4 linked regions of the Lonchura striata genome follow. The protein of the gene in region 3 interacts with the protein of the main gene of each other region in a biochemical or structural test. Links are inferred from orthologs where the notes say so. Each region holds a gene or a part of one and is shown on either strand. Other genes may lie near its edges.

The links.
Region 1: of the proteins of SMURF1 (region 3) and SMAD5, one has a biochemical effect on the other in vitro, tested with the Homo sapiens proteins (3 studies listed by BioGRID, with this or other methods). The link is inferred for Lonchura striata from reciprocal best matches to the Homo sapiens genes SMURF1 and SMAD5.
Region 2: the proteins of SMURF1 (region 3) and UBE2M form a complex in vitro, tested with the Homo sapiens proteins (2 studies listed by BioGRID). The link is inferred for Lonchura striata from reciprocal best matches to the Homo sapiens genes SMURF1 and UBE2M.
Region 4: the proteins of SMURF1 (region 3) and RHOB form a complex in vitro, tested with the Homo sapiens proteins (2 studies listed by BioGRID and IntAct, with this or other methods). The link is inferred for Lonchura striata from reciprocal best matches to the Homo sapiens genes SMURF1 and RHOB.

Annotation. Positions count from the first base shown.
Region 1 is NC_134617.1:8,677,469-8,685,522, forward strand, and holds the start of SMAD5 (mothers against decapentaplegic homolog 5), read right to left. Parts: upstream 3,003-8,054; 5' UTR 2,889-3,002; intron 1-2,888. UniProt on the Homo sapiens protein: Transcriptional regulator that plays a role in various cellular processes including embryonic development, cell differentiation, angiogenesis and tissue homeostasis.
Region 2 is NC_134640.1:1,406,050-1,413,580, forward strand, and holds the start of UBE2M (NEDD8-conjugating enzyme Ubc12), read right to left. Parts: upstream 3,092-7,531; 5' UTR 3,025-3,091; coding exon 2,916-3,024; intron 38-2,915; coding exon 1-37. Other genes in the region: TRIM28 (transcription intermediary factor 1-beta), read right to left, coding at 6,832-6,969, 7,049-7,183.
Region 3 is NC_134618.1:14,830,636-14,838,391, forward strand, and holds the start of SMURF1 (E3 ubiquitin-protein ligase SMURF1), read right to left. Parts: upstream 3,094-7,756; 5' UTR 2,904-3,093; coding exon 2,849-2,903; intron 1-2,848. Other genes in the region: KPNA7 (importin subunit alpha-8), read right to left, coding at 6,827-6,907. UniProt on the Homo sapiens protein: E3 ubiquitin-protein ligase that acts as a negative regulator of BMP signaling pathway. Mediates ubiquitination and degradation of SMAD1 and SMAD5, 2 receptor-regulated SMADs specific for the BMP pathway.
Region 4 is NC_134605.1:104,397,430-104,404,256, forward strand, and holds RHOB (rho-related GTP-binding protein RhoB), read left to right. Parts: upstream 1-3,928; 5' UTR 3,929-4,223; coding exon 4,224-4,814; 3' UTR 4,815-6,297; downstream 6,298-6,827. UniProt on the Homo sapiens protein: Mediates apoptosis in neoplastically transformed cells after DNA damage. Not essential for development but affects cell adhesion and growth factor signaling in transformed cells. Plays a negative role in tumorigenesis as deletion causes tumor formation.

The sequences.
Region 1 (8,054 bases), on a different chromosome or scaffold from region 3:
CATCAGCACAGAAACATGCAGTGTTCTCATTCTTCTAAATCAGTGATTTTCAGCTATTTCCAGAATATGACCTCACATTACAAGAGCACTTTCTGGAGTCTGACACCTGCTACTAAGCTCAGAAAAAAGTTGGCCCTTGCGTCTTCAAAGCTGTCTGCAACAACGAGACCAATTTCCTATGGACAACAGAGAAGTTGGACCATGGAATTGGGATAGAACATGTAGTTCAGAAATAGGATGAATCTGACATCACAGTGACATCCTTACATGTCCCATAATCCTGTGATCACTATGAGTTTTTTTCTTTGATGAAGACTGGCTTCAAATTAGCCATGAAGAAAATTTGTCTTCCTTTCCTAAAGGTTTACTCCCTTCCCTCCATTTGTTTTATATACCATACTATTAGTCAAACATGGAGATTTCTGGGTGAATTCCTCAATGTTCTGTTCTGCATGGTCCCAGTTTTTCATAGGGTTTTTCAGTGCCCAGCCCAAGCACTGCCTTCCAAGCATGGTCCTTTTGGTGGTCTCTGGCAGTTGGGTGGGACACATGCTCACTTCAGGACAGTGAGGAGATCTGACATGCAGCCTCACATAAGCATCTCACTCAACATAATCGTCTGCTGACACAGTCATGAGCTGTGTCATCCAGCAATAGAAGGACCCAACGTCCACAATAACTGTGCACTGAAAACTTGCATTTGTGGCTCCATGGCCAAAACCACAGGAAAACTATTTTTAGCACAACGCAGCTCTAAATAGTGGAAGCACTGAAAATTTAGCTCACATCATGGGCCAAATTCTTCCCCTGGTTACACCCACTCTATGGAGAAGCTTCAGTATAGTAAACAGACACACTCTGAAACAGAAATTAATTTTTTTTTTTAAGTTTTGCTTATGAGCAAAATAAGTATTTTAAACTTTAAATGAAGAAGGGTATGCATCCTCCAGCATTTCCTCTGGAAATAAATGAAAGGAGAAAAGAATGGTTTGAAATAGAAGCTCTCTATTATAGTAACTGTATCTGTTGTGATAAAGGTAATTCTTCCCACCTGTATGTATAAACCATACCCAGAGCTGACATCTCTCAATTCATTACACAGCCACTTTTGGCCTAGACCAGTGAAAAGAACACGCAGTTTATCTGCACCTTGAAAGAAGGCAACACAGATGAGTGTAACCTATGAGTAACAAATCAGGTTTTAATAGCTAGACCTACACTTAATTACTCACAAGCCAACTTTCTAACAGCCGTTTTATCACCTCAGGATTTCCCAACACAAAACAAATTAGTGATGGCAGTGCAGAGCACTCAGGCTTTCTCATGTAGGAACTGACACGACCTGACTTTCTCCTTCTGGGTGTAATTCCAACGGAGTCACCAAGTTACAGGGTGCTGAGCCTTTATAACTTGCATTTAAATTTTGTGGCACACTTAGGGACACAATTTTGTTTTCCAGCCTCATGACCAAACAGTTGGGTTTAGTAATTTCCTCTACCATATCAAGATCTGCATATACAAACATAATAATGTCTATTGTAAATGAAAGTGCTTTTGGGCATAGTGTAGGAAGGCTTTTGGACAGTGTGCTGAAAGCTATTTGCTTTCTCTTACCAAAATTTCCACTGATTTTTTTTTTTTTTTTTTTTTTTTTGGGAGAAGTGGGAACTGGACCATCTTCTAAACCCAAAAGTTCTTGGAAAAGCCAGTAAGATGAGAAAATCATAAAACAGTAATATAGTAATGATAATGTTATTTCTCACTATCTTATTGTTGATGAGTCTTCTTGCACTCTTTAAGCACTGCCCTATGACATATGTTTTAAAAGGAAGTACAGGAAGGAAAATCAAAAGGAAAACAACACATTTTCAATTTGGTTACATTTTTTTTCTAATCTGATACAAATTAGTACTGATGTTGTCTAAGTATCTTCATATGTAATACTGTAAAGGGCAAAAAATAAATTCATAAATGCTCCAGCTGCTTAGCCTGGCCCCGTGTAAGGCACTGCCACTAAAATAGTTCACAACCGTAATTACAATTCGCCACATCTTGGGAATGACATTTAGGATTCTCGAGGCGCTTTCAGATAATTTTTAGACTACACGTAGAAGTTCAGCTGTCACAAAGTCAGTTTTATTTTGTAACAGATTTTATCCTTTGGAATGTTATGTTTGGAGTGAGCTGAAGATATGGAAAAATACATGCAATGTAGTTCGCTTACCCGACTGAAATAAAAGCTGAAACTTTTTTTCTCCTTAATGTTCATATTCCAGCCTGTGCTTGTCCGCAGCTATTTAGATTTGGAAGTGGGGGTGATGGGGGGGCAGGAGAAAAAACTCCCCTACTGCACTATTCTGACTCCATTAGTGGAGGCAACAAGAATTCCTGCTCCCTCTCCAGTAATTAAATAAATATTTAACATTGCGGGATTTAATTGGAATCCCGAAAGTTAACAATAGCCTGAGCTATCGGTGTCGCTATCTCAGGGGTTCTGCTTTCGCAAGGGTATATTTAGATCTCGGCCACATCGCCCACTTGCATTGCGAATAGTACAACCTCTCTCCTAAAAAAAAAAAAATAAAGAAAGAAAGAAAGAAAGAAAGAAAGAAAAAAAACAACTAAGAAGCTCGGTAGAATCTGGAAACTTTTATAAAGTGACGCCGTCTCCGCGGATCTCCTTCCCTGCTGCACAACGTACTTGAAAGCGGAGCAAATGCAGTGGCCGGCAGGCTCGCGAAAAAAAAAAAAAAAAAAAAAAAAAAAAAAAAAAAAACCACAAAAAAAAACCCCAAAAAAACCCCAACAAAACAAACAAACAAAAAAACCCCAAACCCGAAAACCAACCAAAAACCAAACCAAAACAAGCCGAAGGAACACAGCATTACCTTCCAGCACTTAGTGCAGCTCCACTCTCTGCCCCCGTGCAGGGACCGCGGCCCCGCTCCCGGCTCGGGGCAGAGCCCCGCGAGGGCCCCGGCTCGGGGCAGCGCCCCGCGAGGGCCCCGGCCCGGCGGGACGGGCGGGACGGCCCCGAGCTGCCGCCGGACAGTCCGCAGCCCGCTCTGCAAACTTGCTGCAAAACTCGTGTGTCGGGTCTTTCTCTGCTTCCTTCTTCCATCCTGCAATGCCGCCCTTCGCTCCGATGCAACGCAGCCATGTTCTGTGCTGTGCCTGTGCTACAATCCCTGGATTTTGCCGGGGTAAATCCTGGCTTTGCCCCAGAGCACGCTGATCCCTTTTGGTGGTTAATTTATCTGCTTTATAAAAAGGGAACTACAATCACGGTGTATTGATTCTTTGCATTAAGTCTCTCTGCACAAGAAGAATATGCACTGAATAGAATATGAACTCTGCACGATCTGAGTTTTTAATGGATATAAATGTGTATATGCATATATAATACATATAAATACATATGTATACACATATTTAACGTATTCACATGCTATGTCTGGGCTCACATCAACACACACACCTCAAAATTGGAAAGTTTAATTAGGATATTGGTGCTTTTCAAGTAAAAATTATAAAGTATCTTTATACCAGGCCTATGTTTGCATTTTACTACTCTGTATGTATAAACAAGATGGCAGAAATGGAGAGTAACATTTTTAAATGAGAATACAGGTTTCCAAAAGACAGGTTGTTCTCTGTGTAGCTACTGAGCTAAACACCATTAAAACAGATTAGTCTTGTTGACAACAGAGCTCACAGAGGTTCCAAAGTCCAATTAACAGGAACATTTTAACCCCCTAGAAGAACCACTTAAAACAGAACATCGAATTTATGCAATTAGATGCTTGCAGAATCAAAACATTTCCTATTAAAAAAATGAAATTATTATGATTATGGCTAATCATTATCCCTTGCTCTTCATGAAGATGACTAGAGCTGTGAATGACCAGCTCAACCCTCTCATACCCCAGTTTGGGAGAAACTTTGTGTCTCCCTCACACTGCAAGCTCGAGTTCCCCTGCCAGAATATCAACGTTCTGACAAGATTTGAGCCAGCAGTGGAAAGGAAGGTTAAAGCCCCCTGTGAGGTGTTGGCTTGTCAAAGTCAGATTTTGCAGATTACTGCTGCCTTTCTTTGAACGATTCAGCCAGAGTATGAGGAAGATAATATTCTTCTTGATCTATTCATCCTGGGTTTCTTAAAAGGCTCTTGGCAATGTCTCCCACTTGTCTCAGAGAAGATTATCTGCTAGGGAAGAGGAGGTAATGGTCTCCTGAAGGGTATAACCACTCAAAAGAAAGGCAGCAAAGAGTGGTGGTTTCTGGTTCCTTTCCACAGCAAAGGAAGTGGAATTTGGCAGGGAAAAGTGCCCATTGGTGCACACCATCATTGTGTCACTGGGTGAGCTGGAGAAGGCACTGAGATGAACTGTGGATAACAAAGTCATGTATGAAAGGGAAGATGAGGACTTGGTGTGAAGAATTGAAGGACGACTTTCCCATACTGAGTGGGAAATAAAAGGTAGATGAAATCCAGTCTAGATATAAATGCAAAGTAGCACATGTGGAGGTGAAGTAACATCCAAGATTACATGATCTAACATCACCCACTAGCTATGTTTTGTAATAGTTCAGTGCAGGTATTGGATGAATTTTTGATCACCAAGGAATGCACTGGACATCAGGAATTGCAACAAAAGCAATAGCAAAAAAGAAAAGATTGATTCCATGCTGGGAATTCTGGTGCACCTGCATCAGAGGTTCCAGACAGAGGGACAGTTCTCCATCTCAAGGAGATCTGCTACATCTGGTACAAGTACAGACAAGGCCAAAAGGAGTGGTCTGAAGATCAGATGGGTCCCATGCAGAGCATGCCTAAATATTCTCTTCCATCTGGAAAAGAAACAGCTGAAAAGAGACATTAAAGACACCTGCAGAAAGCCCAAATTGAAAAGGTGAAAGAAAAGCCTTTGTCTTCAAATTCTGGAGGAAGAAAGGTTAGCTGCAGGCTTTTGAAAAGAAGAAGATGGTTCTTCACTCAAAGTATAATAAGAAGTTTGAATTTCTGCCACCAAACATTGTGGCTACTAATGGTTTACATTAATTCAAAAATCAAAACTGGTAACAGAGCAAATTCACAAAAGCAAAGCCTGTTAAGAGTCATTAGGTACAAGACACTGGTCTCTGGCTCTGGAAGTCCCATGGTTGTAAACTGGATTCCATGGGGAGGATTCCATGCCATCACTGTTTTCCCAGCACTTGCACTCTTCCTCTGGGCATCCCTGTTGTGGCTGCTGTCCAGCACACTGAGCTGGACAGGCCTTTGATCCCACCTGCAACCACCTCGTATTCTTCACATGTCAGCAGAACTGTTTTTCATTCTGGAGCTCATCTCTCACAGCAGTCATATTTTATTGTCAATAATATCACAAATTCTGGCCTTGTAAATTGGTAATTCTGGTCTTAAATTTTTGTAAGTTGTGTGATACCCCAATTCTGCCTCTCCACCATTCTACAAATATTTTACATCTACCTAAATTACACATATAAACACACCTGTTAATAGGAGTAAAAGTCTTCTATTCAAAAACTGTGAAATTGTTTTTCTTTATGTACCACTCTAGCTTTCTCAATAGACTCAGAAGCAAAGATTCCAAAAAGTCAGGAATGAGTTTACACTCTGAATTTTGAGTTTACAACTCAAAAATGCATCAATTATTCTAATCTAGATTAAGAAACTATTATTAAGAATTCCACATTAAAGGTAATTTCAATAGAAACCTCAAATTAGTGAAGCTTCAGTACGGTAAAGCATGATTATGAGGGCTCATAGTCCAGTTGCAGATACTGAGTGAACCCTGTTGCACCTTTGCATCCACATTTTTGTATCACTATGTACAATAATGAAAGTTGTGTTTTGAAACAGGCATCTGGTCTTTGCCAGTGATACCAGGGCTGTGTAATAATGAGAAACTTCCCTTCATGCCAAACAAGAAAAAAAAAAAAAAAGGATTTTTTTCATTTTCTCTGAGGAGAAAATGGTAGCAGGCAGAACAGTAATTTGTCATTTGAAAAGTTTTGTTTGATGGAAGAAAAATCCTTTTGAAACAGTAGTGCCAGTGAGGAACATCTAATGGAAAAAGCAACTTCCAAAACTTGATTTTTGACAATGACGAAATGGGATTGCTGCTGAACTTCTCCTTTTGTCCATTCTCCTCCTTCTCTAAACTAGCAGTAAAATACAATGTATTTCATGAGGTACTTTGACAAATTTGTATAGAGCAGTGGAAGAGGGGTAGGCCAGAGATTCTTTGGTCCAACTCAAAAGAATGGAAACCTACTTGAGGAATATTTAGTTATTACACTTTCTAAGAGGAAAGCATTTGCATTGCTATTAGAAATACAAAGAAAATTAAGTTCAGCTAGAAAATACCACATGTCCAAAATCAGTCAGATATATCAGTGGCAATTTCAGGGCTCAAGATTTTAATTCAGGCCCCAGTTTTGATTCCAAAGACTGCTCTGATGCAGAGGATCTTGGGTGTATAAACACAGAGCAGTTATAGTTGTTCTGCAGTTTCCACTACCCCTAAATACTGACATTTTGGGGTTTTGTAGAGCAAGGAGGTTTTTCCATTCTAGATTGCCAAAGAACTGTTTCTGAGAAAGCCACACAATTCAACTTGAAATAAGCTCTTTCCTGCCTTTCTTACACACAGCTCATCACACCCAGATTTTAGTATTTGTGTTCTTGTTTCAAACCTACTCTTCTAATTTATTGTATGAGCAATGTCTTGCTTTTCGTGCTGTTGAAGTGATTTCTTGGGAAAATTCTGGGTTTAGTGCCAGGTATTTTTAGTAGGATAGTTGGAACTGCTGATAGAAGGCTATAAACTTTAGTTTTAAGAAAATAATGATTAGTGCTTACATTTAAGCATAAGAATAATCTCCCATTTATTCAGTGAAGTATTTATGGCTGTGCTTTACTTTAAGCCCACTTTTAAATTCAATTAACTTAATTTTAATAATGGACTTAAGTGCTCTGCTCTCTCAGGATAATAAGAGCATTGGCATTTCATTTAGCTGGCTGAGCTTGTTTTTAAGTAAATTTTGTACTCTCAAGCACAAACTGACAAACATGCAAATAAGAGTTACCTTTTTGCCTAAAGACAGAAAATGATAAACCAAGTCATTTTCCAGTCCACGAGGGGAAACACCTAGGCAAGGAATAGATTTTCATTTCCCTGATACTATCGTTTTAATTGTCTGGAAGTGGAACACTGCCTTGCAAGGAGGCTTTGTGCCATCTTTGATCTCCTTCTGTACTTGAGCAAAGAGAGACATAAGTGTTGTTTTCCATTGAAATGAAGAACATTTGTTTGCTTGTTTTCTAGACAAAAGCAAATGTCTTTGAGACACTGTGGGCCATAGCTCCACTTGATATAAATTGGCACATCTCTTTCATTCCAGGGGAATTACACTAATTTTACACCTCAGAGTACATCTCGGAGACTTTCCACCTCATGTATGGACTTGAATAGAGATATTCTGTATCATGAGGTGAGATCATAATATGCAAGTGTTTCACAGACATAAAGCTATGAGGTCTGGGAATGCTTGACAGTAGCTAGTAAATACAGTATGGTCTAGTCATTAAGTGGGACCAATTGTTTATAAGCAGAATAAACAAGTTGGTAGGCAGAGCCAAAATGCAATTTTCTTTACCATGGCACTCCTAATTAACAGCTTTTCCCCACTGAAGCAATAAAATGAAAAATTATGGTTTTATTAAGTCTTATGTAGCTCAAAAAAAGCCCTTTTAAATGTCATTAACACTTGATCTGTTCACCAGAGAAGTAGAAAAAGAAGTAAAAGAATAATTGAAAAATTTGAGCATAAAACAGCTTACAGAACTGACAAGGCTATTTCTGATGCAAATTGTGAACTGGCCTAAAACAATGCCAATTTTACCACCATTCAATGTTAAAGGAAATAAATTGTGTTATGTTGTCATAGTTACTTCAATTAATGTGAAATAAAAGACTTTCAGTATTTTCTAATGCTGTTAGTGTTTATGGAACCAGATCAAAAGCAAG
Region 2 (7,531 bases), on a different chromosome or scaffold from region 3:
ATCTCGCACGTCTTGGGCAGGTTCAGCTCGTTGATGTCTGCGGGACACGGGGGAAACTGAGGCACGGCGGGGACACGGGGGAAACTGAGGCACGGCGGGGACACCAAGGGAAACTGAGGCACAGCAGGGACACTGAGGGAAACTGAGGCACGGTGGGGACACTGAGGCACGGCGGGGACACCGGGGGAAACTGAGGCACAGCGGGGACACTGAGGGGACATTGGGGACACTGAGGGGACATTTGGGGACACAGGTGACACACATGTGACAGGGCCATGACAATCCCGTGACCCCCACCCCTGCCTGGCCCATCCCTGCCCAGGAAAGCCCAACTGGGACCAAACTGGGCCATACTGGGACCAAACTGGGCCATGCTGGGACCAGACTGGGCCATACTGGCACCAAACTGGGCCATACTGGGATCATACTGGGCCATACTGGGACCAGACTGGGCCATACTGGGACCAAACTGGGCCATACTGGGACCAGACTGGGCCATACTGGGACCAGACTGGGCCATACTGGCACCAAACTGGGCCATACTGGGATCATACTGGGCCATACTGGGACTAAACTGGGCCATGCTGGGACCATATTGGGCCATACTGGGACCATATTGGGTCATACTGGGATCATTCTGGGACCAAACTGGGACACTCACCAAGGCCTTACTGGTCCCAGTATGTGGCCGCAACTGGTCCCACTGCCAGTCCCCAGCAAGGCACTACTGGGACCAGTCTGTGACCCTTACTGGGACCAGTCTGTGACCCTTACTGGGACCAGTCCCTGCCCCTTACTGGGACCGGTCCCTGCCCCTTACTGGGACCAGTCTGTGACCCTTACTGGGACCAGTCTGTGACCCTTACTGGGACCAGTATGTGACCCTTACTGGGACCAGTCTCTGCCCCTTACTGGGACCAGTCTGTGACCCTTACTGGGACCAGTCTGTGACCCTTACTGGGACCAGTATGTGACCCTTACTGGGACCGGTCTCTGCCCTTTACTGGGAACAGTCTGTGACCCTTACTGGGACTGGTCTCTGCCCCTTACTGGGACCAGTCCCTGCCCCTTACTGGGACCAGTCTGTGCCCCTTAATGGGACCAGTATGTGACCCTTACTGGGACCAGTCCCTGCCCCTTACTGGGACCAGTCCCTGCCCCTTAATGGGACCAGTCTGTGACCCTTACTGGGACCAGTCCGTGACCCTTACTGGGACCAGTCCCTGCCCCTTACTGGGACCAGTCCGTGACCCTTACTGGGACCAGTCTCTGCCCCTTACTGGGACCAGTCCGTGACCCTTACTGGGACCAGTCTCTGCCCCTTACTGGGACCAGTCCCTGCCCCTTACTGGGACCAGTATGTGACCCTTACTGGGACCAGTCTGCACCCCTTACTGGGACCAGTATGTGACCCTTACTGGAACCAGTCTGTGCCCCTTACTGGGACCAGACCCTGCCCCTTACTGGGACCAGACCCTGCCCCTTACTGGGACCAGTCCCTGCCCCTTACTGGGACCAGACCCTGCCCCTTACTGGGACCAGTCTGTGACCCTTACTGGGACCAGTCCCTGCCCCTTACTGGGACCGGTCCCTGCCCCTTACTGGGACCAGTCTCTGCCCCATACTGGGACCAGTCTGTGACCCTTACTGGGACCAGTCTCTGCCCCTTACTGGGACCAGTCTGTGACCCTTACTGGGACCAGTCTGTGCCCCTTAATGGGACCAGTCCCTGCCCCTTACTGGGACCAGTCCCTGCCCCTTACTGGGACCAGTACCCGGAACCGGTACCGGCCCCCCCAGAACCGTTAACGGCCCTGAACTGCCGGCCCTGCTGGGACCAGTTTGGGGCCCTGACTGGGACCAGTTCCAGGCCCTTACTGGTCCCAGTTTCTGTCCCTTACTGGTCCCAGTTCCCATCCCTCACTGGTCCCAGTTTCTGTCCCTTACTGGTCCCAGTTTCTGTCCCTTACTGGTCCCAGTTTGAGGCCCTTACTGGGCCCAGTTGGTGGCCATTACTGGGCCAAGCATGTGGCTCTTACTGGTCCCAGTTCCCGTCCCTCACTGGTCCCAGTTTGAGGCCCTTACTGGTCCCAGTTTCTGTCCCTTACTGGTTCCAGTTTCCATCCCTTACTGGGACCAGCTTGCAGCCCTAACTGGCCCCAGTTTCTGACCCTCACTGGTCCCAGTTTCCATCCCTCACTGGTCCCAGTTTCCGTTCTTTACTGGTCCCAGTTCCCGTCCCTCACTGGCCCCAGTTTGAGGCCCTTACTGGGACCAGTTGGTGGCCATTACTGGGCCAAGCATATGGCTCATACTGGTCCCAGTTCCCATCCCTCACTGGTCCCAGTTTCTGTCCCTTACTGGCCCCAGTTCCAGGCCCTTACTGGCCCCACTTTGAGGCCCTTACTGGTCCCAGTTTGAGGCCCTTACTGGTCCCAGTTTCCGACCCTTACTGGTCCCAGTTCCCATCCCTCACTGGTCCCAGTTTCCAACCTTTACTGGCCCCAGTTTGAGGCCCTTACTGGTTCCAGTTCCCATCCCTTACTGGGACCAGCTTGCAGCCCGCACTGGCCCCAGTTTCTGACCCTCACTGGTCCCAGTTTCCGTTCTTTACTGGTCCCAGTTCCCGTCCCTCACTGGCCCCAGTTTCAGGCCCTTACTGGGACCAGTTCCCGTCCCTCACTGGCCTCAGTTTGAGGCCCTTACTGGGACCAGTTTCTGTCCCTTATTGGTCCCAGTTTCTGTCCCTCACTGGTCCCAGTTTCCATCCCTCACTGGTCCCAGTTTCTGTCCCTCACTGGTGCCAGTTCCCATCCCTCACTGGTCCCAGTTCCTATCCCTCACTGGTCCCAGTTCCCATCCCTCACTGGTCCCAGTTCCCGTTCCCGTTCCCGTTCCGTTCCCCCCCCGCGCACCTTTCTGGATGCGGAGCTGCGCGGCCGAGGCCTTTTTGCTGGAGCTCTTGGTGCCGCCCGCCGATTCCTCCTCCTTCTTCTGCTGCTTCAGCGAGAACAGCTTGATCATCCTGCCGAGCCGGGCCGGGCCGGGCCGGGCCGGGCGGGTCCGGGCCCCGCCGGGGCCGAGCGAGCGGGGGCCGGGCCGGGGTCGGCGGCGAGCGCTGAGGGCCGGCCGGCTCGGCAACTTCCGGAGCCGCTCGGCTCTTTCCGGAACCGCGCCGCCACCGCCTCGGCCACTTCCGGGACGGCTCCGGCGGAGCAACTTCGGCTCTTTCCGGAACCGCGCCGCGCCGCCTCGGCCACTTCCGGGACGGCTCCGACGGAGCAACTTCGGCTCTTTCCGGAACCGCTTCGGAGGCGCTTGGAAGCGTTTCGTGGCTCTGGGGACGGCCGGAGATCTCCGGAGATGGGCGAGGAGGTTCGGGACCCTCCGGAACCGCTGGGCAATGTCCCGGCGGCCGCCCCGCGGCTCTCCGGAACCGCTCGGCGGGGCTTCGGAACCTCTCGGCAAACCTCCGGAACCGCTTCGGAACCGTTGCGGGGGGGGGGCGGCGGAACCGCCTCGGGGGAACCGCTTCCGGAACCTCCGGAGATCTCCGGGGCGGGGAGGGGCTCGGGGGGGTCTCCGGAAGGGGCGGTTCGGGACGTCCTGGAACGAATCGGGCGGGCCTGAGGGCGCTTCGGCTTTTCCCGGCAGGAATTCGACTCGTTCCGGCGCTCCGACCCCGCTTCGGTTGTTTCCGGAACGCTTCGGCTCTTTCCGGGGAAAGGGGCGGGGCGCAAAGCGGCGATTCGGGCGCTCGGCTATTTCCGGAACACTTCGGCTCGCCCCGGCTCCCGGCAGCCAATCACGTGCAGGGGGCGGGGCTTGAGCCCTTTCTCCCGGTGGGCGCCGCCATGTTCCTCGTGGGCGCCGCCATCTTTGTTGGCCCGGGGCTGAACTGGGACCAGTTTCTCCTCCCAGTCCCTTTCCCGCTCAGCTCGGGGGGCGGGGATGGAAGGGGGGGCGCAGCAGAAGGGAAAATGGCGGCACAGGGGAGGAATGGGGCAGAACCCAGGAAACCCGAGCACAGAAATGGGGAAAATCCAGGAAATTCCAGCCCTGAATTTGGGGAGAATCCAGGAAATTCAAGGCCAGAAATGGGGGAGAAACCAAGAAATCCAAGCACAGAAATGGGGGAGAATCAAGGAAATCCAAGGCCTAAAATTGGGGGAAATCCAAGGCCTAAAATTGGGGTGAATCCAGGAAATCCAAGCCCTGAAACTGGGGAGATCCAGAAAATCCAAGCACTGAAATTGGGGAGAATCCAGGAAACCCAAGGCCTAAAATTGGAGAGAATCCAGGAAATTCAAGCTCAGAAATGGGGGAGAATCCAGGAAATCCAAGGCCTAAAATTGGGGGAAATCTGGGAAATCCAAGCCCTAAAACTGGTGAAAATCCCAGAAATCCAAGCCTTGGAATGGGGGAGAATCCAGGTAATCCAAGCCCTAAAATGGGGGAAAATCCCAGAAATCCAAGCCCTAAAATTGCGGAGAATCCAGGAAATCCAAACACAGAAATGGGGAAGAATCAAGGAAATCCAAGGCCTAAAATTGGGGAGAATCCAGAAAATCCAAGCACTGAAATTGGGGCAAATCCAGGAAATCCGAGTCCTAAAACTGGGGAAAATCCCAGAAATCCAAGCCTTGGAATGGGGGACAATCTAGGTAATCCAAGCCCTAAAAATGGGGAAAGTCCAGGAAATCCAAGCACAGAAATGGGGAAGAATCAAGGAAATCCAAAGCCTAAAATTGGGGAAAATCCCAGAAATCCAAGCCTTGGAATGGGGGAGAATCCAGGTAATCCAAGCCCTAAAAATGGGGAAAGTCCAGGAAATCCAAACTCTAAAACTGGAGAGAATCCAAGAAATTCAAGCACAGAAATGAGGGAGAATCCAGAAAATCCAAACTCTAAAACTGGAGAGAACCCAAGAAATCCAAGCACAGAAATGGGGAAGAATCAAGGAAATCCGAAGCCTAAAATTGGGGAGAATCCAAGAAATCCAAGCCCTGAAATGGGGGAGAATCCAGGAAACCCAAGCCCTAAAAATGGGGAAAATCCAGGAAATCCAAGCCCAGAAATGGGGGAAGAGTCCAGGAAATCTGAGCCCTAAAACTGGGTGAAATCCAGGAAATCCAAGCTCTAAAATTGGGGAAAGTCCAGGAAATCCAAGCACAGAAATGAGGGAGAATTCAGGAAATCCAAACCCTAAAACTGCAGAGAACCCAGTAAATCCAAGCCCAGAAATGGGGAAGAATCAAGGAAATCCGAAGCCCAAAATTGGGGAGAATCCAGGAAATCCAAGCACTGAAATTGGGGCAAATCCAGGAAATCCAAACTCTAAAACTGGAGAGAACCCAAGAAATTCTCGCACAGAAATGAGGGAGAATCCAGAAAATCCAAACTCTAAAAGTGGAGAGAACCCAAGAAATCCAAGCACAGAAATGGGGAAGAATCAAGGAAATCCGAAGCCTAAAATTGGGGAGAATCCAGGAAATCCAAGCCGTGAAATGGGGGAGAATCCAGGAAACCCAAGCCCTAAAAATGGGGAAAATCCAGGAAATCCAAGCCCAGAAATGGGGGAAGAGTCCAGGAAATCTGAGCCCTAAAACTGGGTGAAATCCAGAAAATCCAAACTCTAAAACTGGAGAGAACCCAAGAAATTCTAGCACAGAAATGAGGGAGAATCCAGAAAATCCAAACTCTAAAAGTGGAGAGAACCCAAGAAATCCAAGCACAGAAATGGGGAAGAATCAAGGAAATCCAAAGCCTAAAATTGGGGAGAATCCAGGAAATCCAAGCCCTAAAAATGGGGAAAATCCAGGAAATCCAAGTCCTGAAATGGGGGAAGAGTCCAGGAAATCTGAGCCCTAAAACTGGGTGAAATCCAGGAAATCCAAACTCTAAAACTGGAGAGAACCCAGTAAATCCAAGCACAGAAATGGGGAAGAATCAAGGAAATCCAAAGCCTAAAATTAGGGAGAATCCAGGAAATCCAAGCCCTGAAATGGGGTCAAATCCAGGAAATCCAAGCCCTAAAAATGGGGAAAATCCCAGAAATCCAAGCCTTGGCATGGGGGAGAATCTAGGTAATCCAAGCCCTAAAAATGGGGAAAATCCAGGAAATTCAAGCCCAGAAATGGGGGGAAGAGTCCAGGAAATCTGAGCCCTAAAACTGGGTGAAATCCAGGAAATCCAAGCTCTAAAATTGGGGAAAGTCCAGGAAATCCAAGCACAGAAATGAGGGAGAATTCAGGAAATCCAAACCCTAAAACTGCAGAGAACCCAGTAAATCCAAGCCCAGAAATGGGGAAGAATCAAGGAAATCCAAAGCCCAAAATTGGGGAGAATCCAGAAAATCCAAGCACTGAAATTGGGGCAAATCCAGGAAATCCAAACTCTAAAACTGGAGAGAACCCAAGAAATTCTCACACAGAAATGAGGGAGAATCCAGAAAATCCAAACTCTAAAAGTTGGAGAGAACCCAAGAAATCCAAGCACAGAAATGGGGAAGAATCAAGGAAATCCGAAGCCTAAAATTGGGGAGAATCCAGGAAATCCAAGCCCTGAAATGGGGTCAAATCCAGGAAATCCAAGCCCTGGAACTGGGGCAAATCCCAGAAATCCAGGTGAAATCCCAGAAATCCAGGTGAAATCCAGCCCTGAAACGAGGCAGGACCCAGGAGACCGAGGCAGGAGTTTATTTTCCCACGTGACCCCAGGAAAAGGGGGGACAGGGACACCCCCACATCCCGGGGGGCTCTGGGGGGAACCCGAACCCCTGGGGGGGCAAACGGGGGTGCTGGGAGGGCTTTCACCCCCCGGGAGGGGCCATCAGGAGCCTGGAGGCACCTCCAGGGCTTCCTCGGGATCCACCAGGAGCCGGGAGAACTTCTGGTCCCCGAAGACGGCGCTGAGGCGGCTCTCGAGGAAGCGCTGCAGCCCCAGGATGGACTGGACATCCGCCTTGTCCTGGGGTGGGGGAAGGAGAGAATTCCAGCGGGGCTGGACCCCCGAGGAGCCCCGGAAGAGCCCCCGGGGGCTGCCCGACCTCGGTGAGGCGGTGGAACTGGCGCAGCAGGCGCCAGCCGTCGCGGGCAAACTCCTCGGGGCTGCGGTAGTGCGGGCTCAGCTTCTCCTGCAGCCGCGCCCGCATCAGCGTCAGGTCCATGGCGTCGCGGCCGTCCTGCGGGACCGGCGGCGCGGTCAGCGGGCGCAGCCGGGCGGATCCCAGCCCTGAGCGCACCCCTGATCCTGATCCCACCCCCTGATCCCACCCCTGATCCTGATCCGTCCTCTGATCCCACCCCTGATCCTGATCCCACCCCTGATCCTGATCCGTCCTCTGATCCCACCCCTGATCCTGATCCGTCCTCTGATCCCACCCCCTGATCCTGATCCCACCCCGATCCTGATCCGTCCTCTGATCCCACCCCCTGATCCTGATCCATCCTCTGATCCCACCCCCTGATCCTGATCCCACCCCCTGATCCTGATCCCACCCTGATCCTGATCCATCCTCTGATCCCACCCC
Region 3 (7,756 bases):
GTCTGTGGGTCGTGTTTCTCCTTGACCCAGCAGACCCTGAGCACATTTGGCAAGGATGTGCACTCACAGGATCACTTTATTTTTCCATCCTTGTGCTGGCAATTCTGCCACTGCTGCGCTGCCCTGATGGCAGCACAGATAGGAAGAGACCATAGATTTAACAGAAAGTTTTCTCTTACTTTGCCTAAAACTGTCTGGCTCTTGCATCACCAGCTGGGGTAAAGGCTTTAGTGAAAAGGAGAGGAGAAACTGAGATATGACAGGAGATTAGCATATTTGAGATCAACAGGCCACAAAGCCATTTTAACCTGTCATGCAACTCATTGTTACATTGAGGTTTTTAGTATTTCTGCACAGGGTGCATTATTTGCCATTTTACTTCATTACAATTTGCATCAGGCTAGGACTGACATCCTTACACATTCTGTATAAGCTGGGAGACCACTTCTGCTAATCATCAGCAGATTGAGAACTTTTGCTTATATTCACATAAATAACCCCAACACTCCGCTACTGTAAATACCTTTAGAACAAATGAGGAAAAAATTATGATTAAAAAAAATCACAGAAGATTTAACCACTGTTCCCTTGCCATTCACCCAATGACACTGACAGGCATACTAAGTGGTATTTACACTGCTATTTTCACTGCAAAACTTCAACGGTGCCTAATCACAGGAAACACAATGCAGGTAGTAAATCATAACAAACGAGGTCCTCTGTCTTGATTTAAATGTGCTCAAATCTCCCAAGAGCCGAGGAGATGAGAAAACAACAGCCAGGCTGGCTGCAGCTATTTGAGACAGGTAAGTCAGCACCCCAGTCCCAGCCAAGAACTCAGCATTGCCCAACGATTCCAGAACTAAACTTCTCCCAGAGCAATTTATTTGTTGATTAAATACAGCAGTTTTTGTCACATCACCCAGGTTTCCTGCTTGTAAAAATAGAAGATGTGTTTGAGTAAGGAGGAGATTTCTTCGATGCAGTTAAAAATGGGGAGTAATAAAAAATAAATCTACCAAGTTGCTCAATGAACTGAAACTTCAGTCTGTTCCAGGAAACATTCCCAGCCCAGAGAGAAGACTAGTGTATGCTAAAAGTAAAAAAGCATTTTGCTGCAGCATTCAGCCTTTAAAATTAAACTCAACAGCTTCTCTCTGTTATTTAAATTATCTCCTCCAGCTCAGAAGGGCTATGACCATGGCCTAAGTTACTTAACTCACATTTTTATTGACTGACTTGCATAAAAATAAGCCACATTAAGGACTGAGCTGACATTTGGTATACATCACCACAAAACTCATTTCAGATCAAACATCATTCATACAACCTAAAAATATTTCCAGCCTTCTCCCATCCAAGAAAGGGATTTTCAGATTTACATTATCCTCACAAACTTTGGTCTTCTGAAGCACAAGCGGTGCAGAATCAAAGGATTAAAAGAACACCAGGATTTTTATTTTTTGATGATCTGCCTCTGAGTGTGTTGTGTGCCAGGAGCAAGTTAACCTGTAAGTGCAGTTTCACCAGCACCGTTTTCTCATTATTTGACAATGTTTTATGCACCCACACACAGAAGATCCCTCTCCAGAGACCAATTCTGGTCACCCAGTGCTGCACTGTGGCTTCTCCAGCCCAACTGACCTCCAAACATCCACTTGTTGCCTTTGAAAGAATGGATTAGACCTTATTTTTTAATAATTCACACAGCAGTCTCAACTTCCCAACAGCTTCTCATTAAAGAAGCAGGCTCGGCTTCGACCAGAGCAGCTTCCAAAAGACTTAATCCAGATCTTTCAGGGTCCAACATAAATTGGTTTATCCATCCATGAACCCTCCAGAGGCCTCACACAGAGGCAGGACAGACACAGTTCTGGGTGTCACCTCCTGCACAGGGAAGGAACTTCCAAAGGTGAATGCCACAATGTGCCAGGTAAAAACAAGCTGAGAGGAAGGAAGCAAAATTAAAGAAACACACTAAAAAAAAACAAAACAAAACAAAACAAAAAAAAACAAAACAAAACAAAAAAAAAACTACACAAAACCATCCAGCTAAAAGCAACTAAAAGGGTATTTTCTCATTAGCAACTGAGTTATCCTCTTTGGCACACAGGAGGTTGGGGGGGTTGTTAATTAAAGTGAAGTAAGGCAAATTATGACAGGCTGTGCTGAAAACCAGTGAGTGGGAGAGGTGGCCCTGGGAATCCTGCTGGGAATGGTGAAGAGGAGACCCCAGGGAAGAGCAGCACAGGGATACCCCATGGGAGAGGGAACAGGGAAAATCCTGGGAAAGAGCTGGGAAGGGGGAAAGGTGTCACAAGGATGCCCAGGGCCAGGGAAGGTGCAGAAGAGATCCCAAAATTGGGCAGAATGCAGGGGAGCGTTATCAACAGGGATGTTCCATCGGGAGTGCAGGAGGGACCCATCTAGGGTCAGGGTGCTGGAGGGGTGGTGAGTGCCACATCCATGGGGGAGGGTGCAGGAAAGCCCCCAGGAAGGAGAAGCGTGCCCTGAGCTGCTGGAGAACGAGGGGGACACAGTGACAAACCCCCGCCCTCCTCACATTTATGTCACCCCAAGGGGGCTCAGCCACCTCACGCCGGAGGGGCGGGAAAAAATAGAAATACACAAAAGCGCAGAGAGGCTCTGTCGGGCCACAGAGGGAGAAGCGGAACAGAAAAACGGTGGATAAAAGTTAAGCGAGGCTGGGAGCTCGGGCCCGGCCGGTCCTCCCCTCACAGCCAGGGGAGGGGATGGAGGGGATGGAGGGGAGGGGACCCCGGGCCCAGCCCGGGGTGTGCGGCCACACACACCACACACACACACGCCGCTGCTGCCGCCCCGTTACCTGTGAGGCGGATCTTGATGCTGGATCCGTTCCGGCGGGTACCGGGATTCGACATCGCGCCTGGAGCAGGAGGAGGAGGAGGAGAAGGAGGACGCGGCGGCGGCGCCGAGCTCAACCGGCGGCCCCGCGCAGCCCCGCCATGCGAGCCCGCCCGCTTCTCACGATGCCGGGAATGCCCGGATCCGTGTTCCGGTGGCCGCCGCAGGCTCGGCGCCCTCAGCCGCCGCCTCAGCCCCAGCCGCCGCCGCGCCCGCCCGGCCCGGCCGCGGAGCGCCGTGGCCACGCCCCCGCCACGCCCCCGCGCACGGCGGAGGGCGGTGACGTCAGCGCGCACAGCGGCGCGGCCGCGGCCGGACGCCATGAGGGGAAGGTCGGGCGGGGAAGGTCGGGGTGTGGCGCATGCGCGGGAGGGGTCCGGGGAGCGCCCCCTGGCGAAGGGGAGAGCGCGGGGGAACGGGGAATTCGGGAATGGCGGAACGGGAATGGGGTGGGGGAATAGAGGGGGAATTGGGGAGCAGGGATGGGGTGGGGAAATAGAGGGGGAATTGGGGAGCAGGGATGGGGTGGGGGAATAGGGATGGGGGAATAGAGGGGGAATTAGGGAGTAGGGATGGGGAAATAGGGATGGGGGAATAGAGGGGGAATTGGGGAGCAGGGATGGGGCGAGGAAATAGGGATGGGGTGAGGAAATAGGGATGGGGGAATAGAGGGGGAATTGGGGAGCAGGGATGGGTTGGGATGGGGGAATGGGGAATAGAGGGGGAATTGGGGAGCAGGGATGGGGTGGGGAAATAGGGATGGGGGAATAGAGGGGGAATTAGGGAGTAGGGATGGGGTGAGGAAATAGGGATGGGGGAATAGAGGGGGAATTAGGGAGTAGGGATGGGGAATGGGGAATAGAGCAGGAATTCAGGAATGGGGATGGAGAAATGGGGGGAATAGAGGGGGAATTCGGGAATGGGGGAGTAGAAGGGGAATTGGGGAGTAGGGATGGGGAATAGAGGGGGAATTCAGGAATGGGAGTGGGGAAATGGGGGAATAGAGGGGGGACGGGAAAAGGAATGGGATGGGGAAATGGGGGAATAGGGGGGGAATGGGGGAATAGAGGGAGAACATGGGAAAAGGAATGGGATGGGGGAATAGGGGGGAATTCAGGAATAGGGATGGGGTGGGGGAATGGGGGAATAGAGGGGGAATTCAGGAATAGGGATGGGAAAACAGGGGAATAGAGGGAATGGGGGAAAAGGAATGGAATGGGGGAATAGAGGGGAAATGAGGGAAAAGGAATGGGAGAATAGAGGATAATAATGGGGGAATTGAGCAGAATAAGAGCAGGATGTGGGGGGAAAGGGTGATGGGGGATACCTGAGGAACAGCATAGGGGCAAATAGAGGTGGAATGGGAGGAATTGGGGTGCCTAGGGCTGTCCTGGGATGAAAAGGGACAAATAGGATCCCTTTAGGGATGAATAGGTGATCTCAGGGGTGGAACAGGGGCAACATGCAGGGTAGCAGGAGGGTGACAGGGTGCCTGGGGGTGAATAGGGGCTCTCACAGTGGCATGGAGGATGTATGGGGGGACACAGAGGGAGCACAGGGATGCCTGAAAGTAGCATAGGAATAAAGGAGTCTTAATTTGGGGTAAACACCACTACAGGCGGGGGCAGTGCCTGTTCCATCTCCAGAAAAGGGACAGCACCTTCTCACTGTCTACAACTCCCTGATGGGAGGGTGCCAGGTGGGGAATGGACTCTTCTCCCAAGTGCCAACACAAAGGAAAAAGCCCCAGGTTGTGACAGGGTTAGATGTTCGAAAAGATTTATTGACTGCTCAAGCAGTCCCCACTCCTGAGAATGTTCCAGGGAGCAGAGGTGGCACTAAAGGGGTAGAAGCTGATGGAAGTCAGTGGGAGATTGTGGAGGTCTTTCCCAGCCTCAATGATCCTCCACCTGCTCCTCTGGGGAAGGTTTTAATTAGAAAAACTACTTTTTTTTGTGCATGACAGGAGGGAGGTTGAGCTGCCCTGAGGAAGGACAGCATCATCATGCCCCTTTCACTGGTGTCCCATCCCATCCCCCTGGGAGGAGGGGATGCCTGCACTGCCCCCCAGCTGGAATTGCCCCAGAGCTGCTGCCTGTGCCTGGGGCTGGCAGGGGAGGGCAGCGCCCCAGGCCAGGCAAGCAGCTGCCTGCAGGTCGCTCACACACCCACACAGAGCCTTGGTGATCCCCAGGCACTGGGCCCAGTTCTTCAGCTGCCAGGGGAGACAGCAGGCACGTCCCAACACTCTTTTTAGGAGGGGCATGTTGTCCTGGCCTCTGCCTTCAGGACAATATTTTGTTAAGTTACAGACACAAGGATGGAAAGGAACAGCTCTGGGCCCCTGGCTCTGTGTAACACCACCCACCACAGATTTATGTCCAGCACATGCCAGAAAAAGAAACCAAGATATTTCCTATTTCTCTCTTAATCAGATCATCAGCAAAGAGCAGCCCTGCCTGGGCCATGGGAAAAGCCAACAGGGCTGGTCCACAGAGGACCAAAATCCAAACTCGGGGCAGGCACACAGGCCCTAGCTCTGTGTCTGAGGAAAGAGCTTCCTCACATTCCTTGTGCCCAGGGAGCTGTGGCCATTCCCAGGTGCCCCATCAGCAGTGGGAAGCCCACAGAGCCCAGGCAGCAGCAGCCCTGGCTCAGGTGCATGTTCAGGCAGTGCTGTATCATGTCTAAGTCCATAGTTCTGGATGTAAGAAGCACTTTGCATTTCATCAGATCCCAGTATTTGAATATTAAATAAATGATACTAAGCCCTGTTACCCATAAGCGGGGCTGCCCAGCTCCTCCCAGAGAACACATTTACTACCAACTCCCTTTTCCCTGGGTGGCCTGCAGGAGAAATGCATAAATCCTCTGATGAACAGATCCAGGGAAGAGGAAGAGCCTCTGTTTCCTGAAGAGGAGATTTCCCCTCCAGATTAAGCTGTCACATCACCTCCCACTGCCCCTGAGGCAGCAGAGCCCTGAGCCCACCCAGGGACACTTTGAAGAGCCAAACCCCCAAAGCAGGGAGGGAAAGCTGCTCCCTCACCTTGCCTTCAGCAAAGCCTTTGAGCTGCTTCAAGCTCTGGGTAGCAAAGGATTGGGGAAGGGTCTGCTGGGAACCACCAACACTGCAAGGATGGAGCAGTGGCCAGCAGCTCATTGAGAACCCACAGCACAAAACCTTTGTGCCATGGGCTCAACTCCATCCTCACCTTCTGCTGGAGACCACACTTGGAGGGCTTAGAGAGAAGGAGAACAAGAGCCAGGGACACACCACGGAAACCTGAAATACAGGTCCTTGGAATTAAAGAGCAGAGCCAGATCGATGGGCTGCAGGCTGATGGATGGCAACAGGGAAGCTGCAGCAGAGGTGAATCATTGCCCCTGCACTGCCTCCAACAACCTCCCTTCCAAAGGAGCAGCATCTACTCAGCAGCTCCCACATCCACATCTTCCAGGTGAAGTAACACAGCAAGGCCACTGATCCACCTGGGCCTGGCTCAGCTCCTTTCCCACAGCAATGATGGTGCCTGCAGAAAGGTGAAACATCTCTCAAACAGTTTTTTAGAGCTACTTCAGCCACTCCAAGTCAAGTCTAGAAGTTTCAGAACAAAGATCAGATGGCAGCATGCTGCTCTCCTACAGCTCAGAAGAAAGATCCCACCCAGAAAACTTGATCAGGGGCTCCAAAACACTCCTGCAAGACCTTAAGATGCTACTGGAAAAAAAAAAAACAAAACAAGCCATGTCATTTGCAACAGCAGCTTAAAGAAGGGGGGAAATAATTAAAGGCAAAAGGAACAAAGCCAAAAAGTGCAATTTATTGACAAGTTTCAGAAGTAAAAAGGCTCAACATCTCTACTCCTGACAATTTGGATGTCTGAGCTCTTCCAAAGTACCTCCACCCACCAGTTTAGAGCTGTGTCATGCTTCATCTTCAGAAGTTGAAGTCTTGTTTCTCCACTGAGAAATCATACAGCCCATCTTGGCCAGTCTGGGGCTCCAGGTTTATGCTCTCCTAGGAGGAAAATGACAGAAATTACTTATAGTGTCTGCATTTGAATAAACCTAAGCTTTTTACAGCAACTCTGTTTTATTCTTGCTTTAAAAATCCTGTTAATCTCAGTTTGACTGTAACAGAACTCCTGCTCCTTGCAGCACCCTAAAGCTGCAGTGTCCCTGCAGCCCACACAAAAGCAGCCAAGCCTTTGGGCTCAGACACCAGAAGCAAAAGGAAATAAAAGTGGCTGCAGTGGTAGAGCTCACTGAAATTAAATGGCCTGCTTGGAACAGCAACAAGCCAGGACTGCTCAGGGGGATGTTCCCCTGGAATCCAGCCCCTCCAGCAGGAGCTGGTGTGGAGAATTTCCTCCACAGCCTCTCACAGGGACACCCCACAGACCCTGCTCTGGCAAAGGACTAAACCAGACCTTTGCCCCCTGCTGCAGCTCACACCCAAAGTGAGTTCCAAGGTCTGCCAGGCCTCTGAGCCTCTTCCCTGATGATTTCCCATCTGCAAGTCTAAGGCTGGGACCAAACATGGCTCCTGTGACAGTCACTGGACCCTTGCAGCTCCTAGCTGGTGTCCTATCTTCTTTTTCCATAGATTCTTTACCATGAGAAGGGTCAAGTAATCCAAATGCAACCTGAGCACTGTTATCAGCTGAGTAGGAGGCTGCCATTCATAGTGACAAGCCAGCTCAGCTCTGAAGGAGGAAACCTCTCCACATTTGGTATTCATATCAGTAACTGCAGTAACTCCAGCTGATGCCAGTTTAAATTCCAGCAGCAAGATGCTATCAAGGCATCCATGTCTGCTGCCCAACTCATTGGCTGACAACTCGGAGCTTTTACAGACCTTTAAAAA
Region 4 (6,827 bases), on a different chromosome or scaffold from region 3:
CAGCACGCAGGACTTTGTGTGCCATGAGAGGACATGTGGCTCCCTCAGCATGTTATGCCACAGCAGGCTATGTACTTACTTGCCTACTTATTGACAGAAAGGAGAAAGATTGCCTTCCCCACTGAGCTTTCATACTTTTGGTACAGATTTACACCTGAACACAATGTATCTGAGTTACAGACATGCCCTTTAGAAAATCTGCTTAGAAGAAGAGCAGGGGGGGAATATAAGCTGGAAAAAAAATCTCCAGTAATTGACAGGAATTGTCTTCTCAACTAAAAAATGCCACTTGGATTAAATAAATGAATAAATAAATAAATAAATAAACAACAAAATCTGAGTTTTAATCTCAAAACCATCCCCACAAGCAATAAAAACAAACAAGTGGTGTCTTCCTTCTTTGTCCTACTTCATGCTTTCTTCCTCAATCATACAGAAGTATATGGTGCAGCAGAACTAACAGTATGCTTAGAGTGCACATTTTGCACTAGAACAGCTAACTAGAGGTGAAGATTCAGCTTGCATAAAGAACTACAGTTTATATCATGCAGATTCATGCAGAAAATATAAAAGCTACAATGTCAGTTAAAATTCAGCCCTAAAATACATAAGCTGGATATATTCACTAATTACAGATGTGTAATAACCACAATGACTTAGATGTTCCCCCTAGAGGCTGTTGCTGGAGTGTACCCCAGGACAGTGAAAGGAGTGTGATCTCAGCTTGAGTTGGTCACAGGGCTGAGTCTCATGATATAAAGTTTCTGGAAAAAAATACTTATAAAGCATTTGAAAGCCTTGGTCAAGGTGTTACATAGCCTTTGCTGAAGTCTGTCTTGCAAGGTGAGAGATGAAACATCAGGCACTTTGCTTTCAGTGCAACTGTGTGGAAAACTAGAGATGTGAGACTTGAAAATTAAGCATGAGCCATTAAGTCATGGCTCAGACCATAAGTGGGTGCTGCAAATATATATATACTGCTCAGTTACAAGAAAAAATCATGCTATGGACTTAACTTGAGCTAGCTGGACATTTCTGGAGTAATTCCTTTGCACAGTTTGGAAGCTGGAATCAGCAGACAATTTGGATGAGGTCACCCTGCTTGGCAACCTTTAAAGAGGTAAGCAGCACTCTGGGCAACAATAGAGCCGTGTGCTTTGAAATGAATAAACTGCTTATTTATCTGCCTTCGGTGGCACAGCACAGATGAGTCAATACACGTAACTGCTCATTTGCATTATTCCTTCTTCTATTTAATAAAACATTTTGCTCCTGAAAGGACAAAACCAAACACCCAGGCATGATTCAAAATACAAGCGGAATCAGAAGTATATTTAAGCAGCACCTCTCAGGCCAGGTGAAGCAGTCGCAGCTTCTCCTGCTGCCGCCGCAGAGGTGGGTTTTTCCAGCGGTGGGTTTTTCCAGCGGAGGGTTTTCCAGCGGAGGGTTTTCCAGCTGCGGAGCCGCACGGAGCAGGCGCAGGGCGGTGCAGGGCGCGGAGCTGCCGCGAGGGGGCGCTGGGGCCCCGCCGTCGGCGCGGCGCGGCCGGGCGGCGCGGGGGGAGCGGCGAGCCGGGGATTCCATGGAACGGGAATCCGCCGCAAATCCCCCCGCCCGCCTCTCCCAGCGGCCTTCCCCGCCTGGGACTGCGGAGAAAATAGCTGCAAGCTGCCCGAGCACCATCCCCCCGTGCCAGGAGGACATGGCAGCAGGGGGGTGATTTCCACGCAGTTTGAGAAGAATTGAAGCCTGTGAGCAGTGACAACGGATTTAAAGGGATGATGCAAGCCAGAAATTTGGCTCGCTGGAAGGCCATAGGTACTGAAGAACATCCATGTCTATGTCTACACTTTATTGCTGAATTCTTTAAAAAAATCAGTTTGAATTTATTATGTTCATATAAAATATGCTGTACAAACCTATGTATGATCAAGGCACAAACTCATCCGTCAGCATCCAGGAACATGCTCTTTTGACTGGGAGAAATGGGTATTACAAAAATCTCACAGAAAATGAATTTTATTTCAATGTCTAGGATTAAACGAACCTTTTGCCCTATTGACACACACCCCTCTGTAACAGTCTGCTGCAAGTAACTTGTCAGGCAATTTGATGTACTCAGTGATGCATTCGCTCTCCAAGTGGGTATTTTAAAATGCAACTTTTAATAACAACAGTATTGTACAAACCACTCATTTTTGTTCCATACCCTAATGCCAGTACTGGCTGGGAAAACGGGACACTTCGAATCAAACCCCGAGAGGCAGTAGCCACAAGACATCTGCGCCTGTGCTGGCAGGGAAGAAGTTTGGGACACCACCCGGCTGAGCAGCGGCAGCTGCAACAGGGACCGAGCGCGTCGCTGCCGGCGGTGTCCGTGTGTGCCCCGGCACTGCGGCCACCCCAGCGCGCCCGGCCCGGCCCGGCTCGGCCCAGCTCAGCCCAGCCCGGCCCGGCCCGGCTCAGCCCAGCCCGGCCCGGCTCGGCTCAGCCCAGCCCGGCCCAGCTCAGCCCAGCCAGCTCCTCCTGTGAAGGGACTCGCATCCTGCCCTCCCAGCAACCCCTCACTACAGGGCTTTGCGCCCCTTTATTCTCCACGTTCATTTTTTCCTTGCTGTGACTTCCGATATCCCTGTAAACTGAGACCCAAAGGCCAATTCAGTTCAAGCCTGCTGCTTCTCCCGCTTTGCAATTCCTCTGCTCCCTTTTGGCCAAAAGCTGGCGAGAGTCGAATATGATTAATTTCTTAAGGAAGGGTGTCGAGCGCTTTTCCAGGAGCGCCCAGCGGACGCTTTTATTTTATTCACCCGCCTGCAATGCTCTCTGTTCACTTTGCCCCTGGGACGCAGCGGCGCTCCCCGCTCCTCTCGGTGCCCGCCCAGCCTCTTCACTCAGGCCGTCCCGAGCGGCGAGCCTGCGGCGGGGACCGGCCCTGCCTGCCCCGGCGACAACCGGGATCCCCGGGCCGGGAGGGCTCACCCGGGACAGGCTCACCCGGGACAGGCTCGCACCGGGACAGGCTCACCCGGGACAGGCTCACCCCGGGACAAGCTCGCACCGGGACAGGCTCACCCCGGGACAGGCTCACACCGGGACAGGCTCACCCCGGGACAGGCTCACCCCGGGACAAGCTCGCACCGGGACAGGCTCACCCCGGGACAGGCTCACCCCGGGACAGGCTCGCTCCGGGACAGGCTCACCCGGGACAGGCTCGCACCGAGACAGGCTCACACAGGGACAGGCTCGCACCGGGACAGGTTCGCACCGGGGACAAGCTCACACCGGGCTCGCACCGGGACAGGCTCACACCGAGACAGGCTCGCACCGGGACAGGCTCACCCGGGACAGGCTCACACCGGGACAGGCTCACACCGGGACAGGCTCACACCGGGACAGGCTCGCACCGGGACGGGCTCACACCGGGACAGGCTCGCCCCGGGACAGGCTCACCCCGGGACAGGCTCGCACCGGGACAGGTTGACACCGGGACAGGCTCAAACCGGGACAGGCTCGCCCCGGGACAGGCTCACCCCGGGACAGGCTCGCACCGGGACAGGCTCACCCGGGACAGGCGCACCCGGGACAGGCTCACCCGGGACAGGCTCGCACCGGGACAGGCTCACACCGGGACAGGCTCGCACCGGGCTCGCACCGGGACAGGCTCGCACCGGGGACACGGAGCCCCGGCCGCCCCAGCGCGGCTCCGCCCGCCGCCACCCCGGGCGCGCTGCCCCGGCCCGGCCCGGCCGCTCCCGGCCCGGCCGCTCCCCCCCGCCTCGGCCCCGCCCCCCGCCCGCGGCCGCCCGCCAATCGCAGCGCTCTCCGCCGGGGATGACCTCACTCCTTGCCTTCCCATTGGCCAGCTATATTAAGAAAGCCGCGAGCGCCTTTAAATAGCGGCGCCGGGCCGCAGCTTGCGGCAGTGGCTGCGCGGAGCGGGTCCCGTTCGTGTCTGTGCAGTGAGGCGAGAACCGGCGGCACCGCTCCCACCGCAGAGCTCCGGGGCCGGCGGCGCTGCCCTGCGGCCGTAGCGCTCCCGCGAGGCAGGATACGGCGGCGCGGTGCCGGTGAGCGGAGAGAGCAGGGCGCGCCCGCCTGCCTGCGCGGGCCGGCTCGCCACGGTGCCCTGTGAGAAGCGAGAGGGAGCGGGAGGCGGCGGCCGCGGGGAGGAGGGCGCTGCCATCGTCCTGCTGCACGGCAAGGCCAGCTTGGCGAGCCTGGCCATGGCTGCCATCCGCAAGAAGCTGGTGGTGGTGGGGGACGGTGCCTGTGGCAAGACTTGCCTCCTCATCGTCTTCAGCAAGGACGAGTTCCCTGAGGTCTACGTGCCCACCGTCTTTGAAAACTACGTGGCGGACATAGAGGTGGACGGCAAGCAGGTGGAGCTGGCCCTGTGGGACACGGCTGGCCAGGAGGACTATGACCGCCTGCGTCCCCTTTCCTACCCGGACACCGATGTCATCCTCATGTGCTTCTCCGTGGACAGCCCGGACTCGCTGGAGAACATCCCGGAGAAGTGGGTGCCCGAAGTGAAGCACTTCTGCCCCAACGTCCCCATCATCCTGGTGGCCAACAAGAAGGACCTGCGGAACGACGAGCACGTGCGGAACGAGCTGGCCCGCATGAAGCAGGAGCCGGTGCGCACCGAGGACGGCCGGGCCATGGCCATCCGCATCCAGGCCTACGACTACCTGGAGTGCTCGGCCAAGACCAAGGAGGGTGTCCGGGAGGTCTTCGAGACTGCCACCCGGGCAGCCCTGCAGAAGCGCTACGGCACCCAGAACGGCTGCATCAACTGCTGCAAAGTCCTATAGGGCGTGTCTGGAGCGCGGCGCTGGGCACAGCGCCCGGGTCACCTGTTGGCAGGTGCAGAGGAGCTGGGTTATACGCACACGGCATCTGCCTGTCCCCTCCGCTAGGGACTGGCTGTGCATGGGGTGGGGGCTAAGGGAGGGAGCACGCTCCTTGAGCCTTGGCCAAAAAGGGTTGTGCTTGCTCAGCCGCGGGGACGGAGGGAGGGGGGGATTGCATGCCCTGAATCTTGGGAATAAAGTGGGGAGAAGCCTTCTCCTACCGCTGGCCCCTGCGAGTTAGTCGTGGACTCAACGACAAAAAGCTGCTGAGACTGGACTGAGCAAACCTTGCACCCGGTTCTGCCCCTTTGCCAACACCTGCTGCTTCCTGCTCCCGGGCAGCCTCCTCTCTTTTGCAAGAGGAGGGCGGTGGAGCTGAGATGCTCGAAGGGACTTCTGCCTCCTGCCTGCATGTGCCTCCACCCAGGCGAGCTGGGGAAAGGGGCTGCCTCTCCCAGGCTGCCTGCAGCATCCTTGCTTCTCCCTCACATGTTTCAGCCTGAGCCTGACCTGCTGTGGAAGTTAGCGCCCTGAAGACCGAGACTGGGAGGGGAGGGGAGGGTCATCCCAAGCAAAGCCTGTATATATGTTACCTTTTTTGTCTTGTGCAAACTGGGGTAGTACAGGGGGTGCTTATTTAAAGTGAGGTGGGGAGGGGGTGCCCAGGTGGGACTTGTGTTGTGCAAAGGAACTTGCCCTGAGTGACTGATGCCTGCTGATAACAGGAGCCATGAACTGACTCCAGCTGCAGAAGCCACCAGGCCAGAAAGTAAAGCTGAACTGTCCTGCTTGCTGGATATCCACCTCCTGACAGATGAGGCAGGATGAGCAAGGGGATGATATTGCCATATTATGATTTTGGTGCCTGCTCCTTACTTTTGATGTTGTCTCCTGCAAGTGTGTTGATTTGGGTTTATTTAAAAGTTTATTTTCAAAAGATGTTACTTTGCACAACTCGGTGGAGTTTTTAATGTTTAAATTAAACACTCAATGCGCTCATCTGCATACAACACTGTAGCATTGGAAACATTCTTACTCGGTAACCTCATCTGGGTCTTGTTTAAAACTGATTTCAACACAAGACAAAATAAAACCACTGTATTATTTTTGCCTTGGAAAAAAAAAAAAAAGGGTGAAAGCACTGTTACTTATGCAGTGAGTACATCAGACTTTAGTACTAAAGGGCAGTTTAAAGAATCAAGGTTTATTTAAAACTTATTTTCACAAGGTGGCCAGCCTGGGTGAAAATAATTTTCTGTTTCTCTGGTTCAGAGAACAAATGTATCCATTTATGTTTGTTTACTTTATTCCCTCTTCCCTCAACAGTGGTACTGAGACTGTTTTTAATAAACTGACATGGCAAAAACTGAGATGTATATGATGTTTACATAAAACTATAGTGTATGCAGTTTTTTATGTAAAGTATTAAAAGATTCTATGCTGACACTTGTGAGACCAGTGTTGTGATTCATGGAGACTGTCCTCTGGATATTATTGAACTAGACCAGAGTTTGCCCCTTGCCTACACATGCTTTTATTTGGCTTTTTTCCACTGGGTGAAACACCTATCTGGCAGCTTTTAGAGGATGGTGGTTTTAGTTCCCTTTGGGGGAGCTGCTTCCTTAGTTTTTTTTCAGTGCATGGTATATGGAAATGTATTGAAAAGTCAAGGTGGTGACTGATCCATCCTTGTTGCTGTTGACCACGGGCAGCCTCTGTGGCTCCTGCCTGGGCTCCGGTGAGCTGGTGTTGCAGCAGAACGGGCACAAAACTGAAAAGCAGCACCAGCAGTAAGGATTATTTGTCAAGGAAGTATTTAGATAAAAGCAGTTTTTTTAGCGGTCTCCCCTTTGCTTGGAGCGCATGGCCCTGCTTCCTGCAGCAGCGCATGGGAGCAAACACTGCTCTCTGTTGAACCAGCATCTCCAAAGCTGCCGGGATGGATTTCCCGATTGTGGCCTCATTAATTCCCAT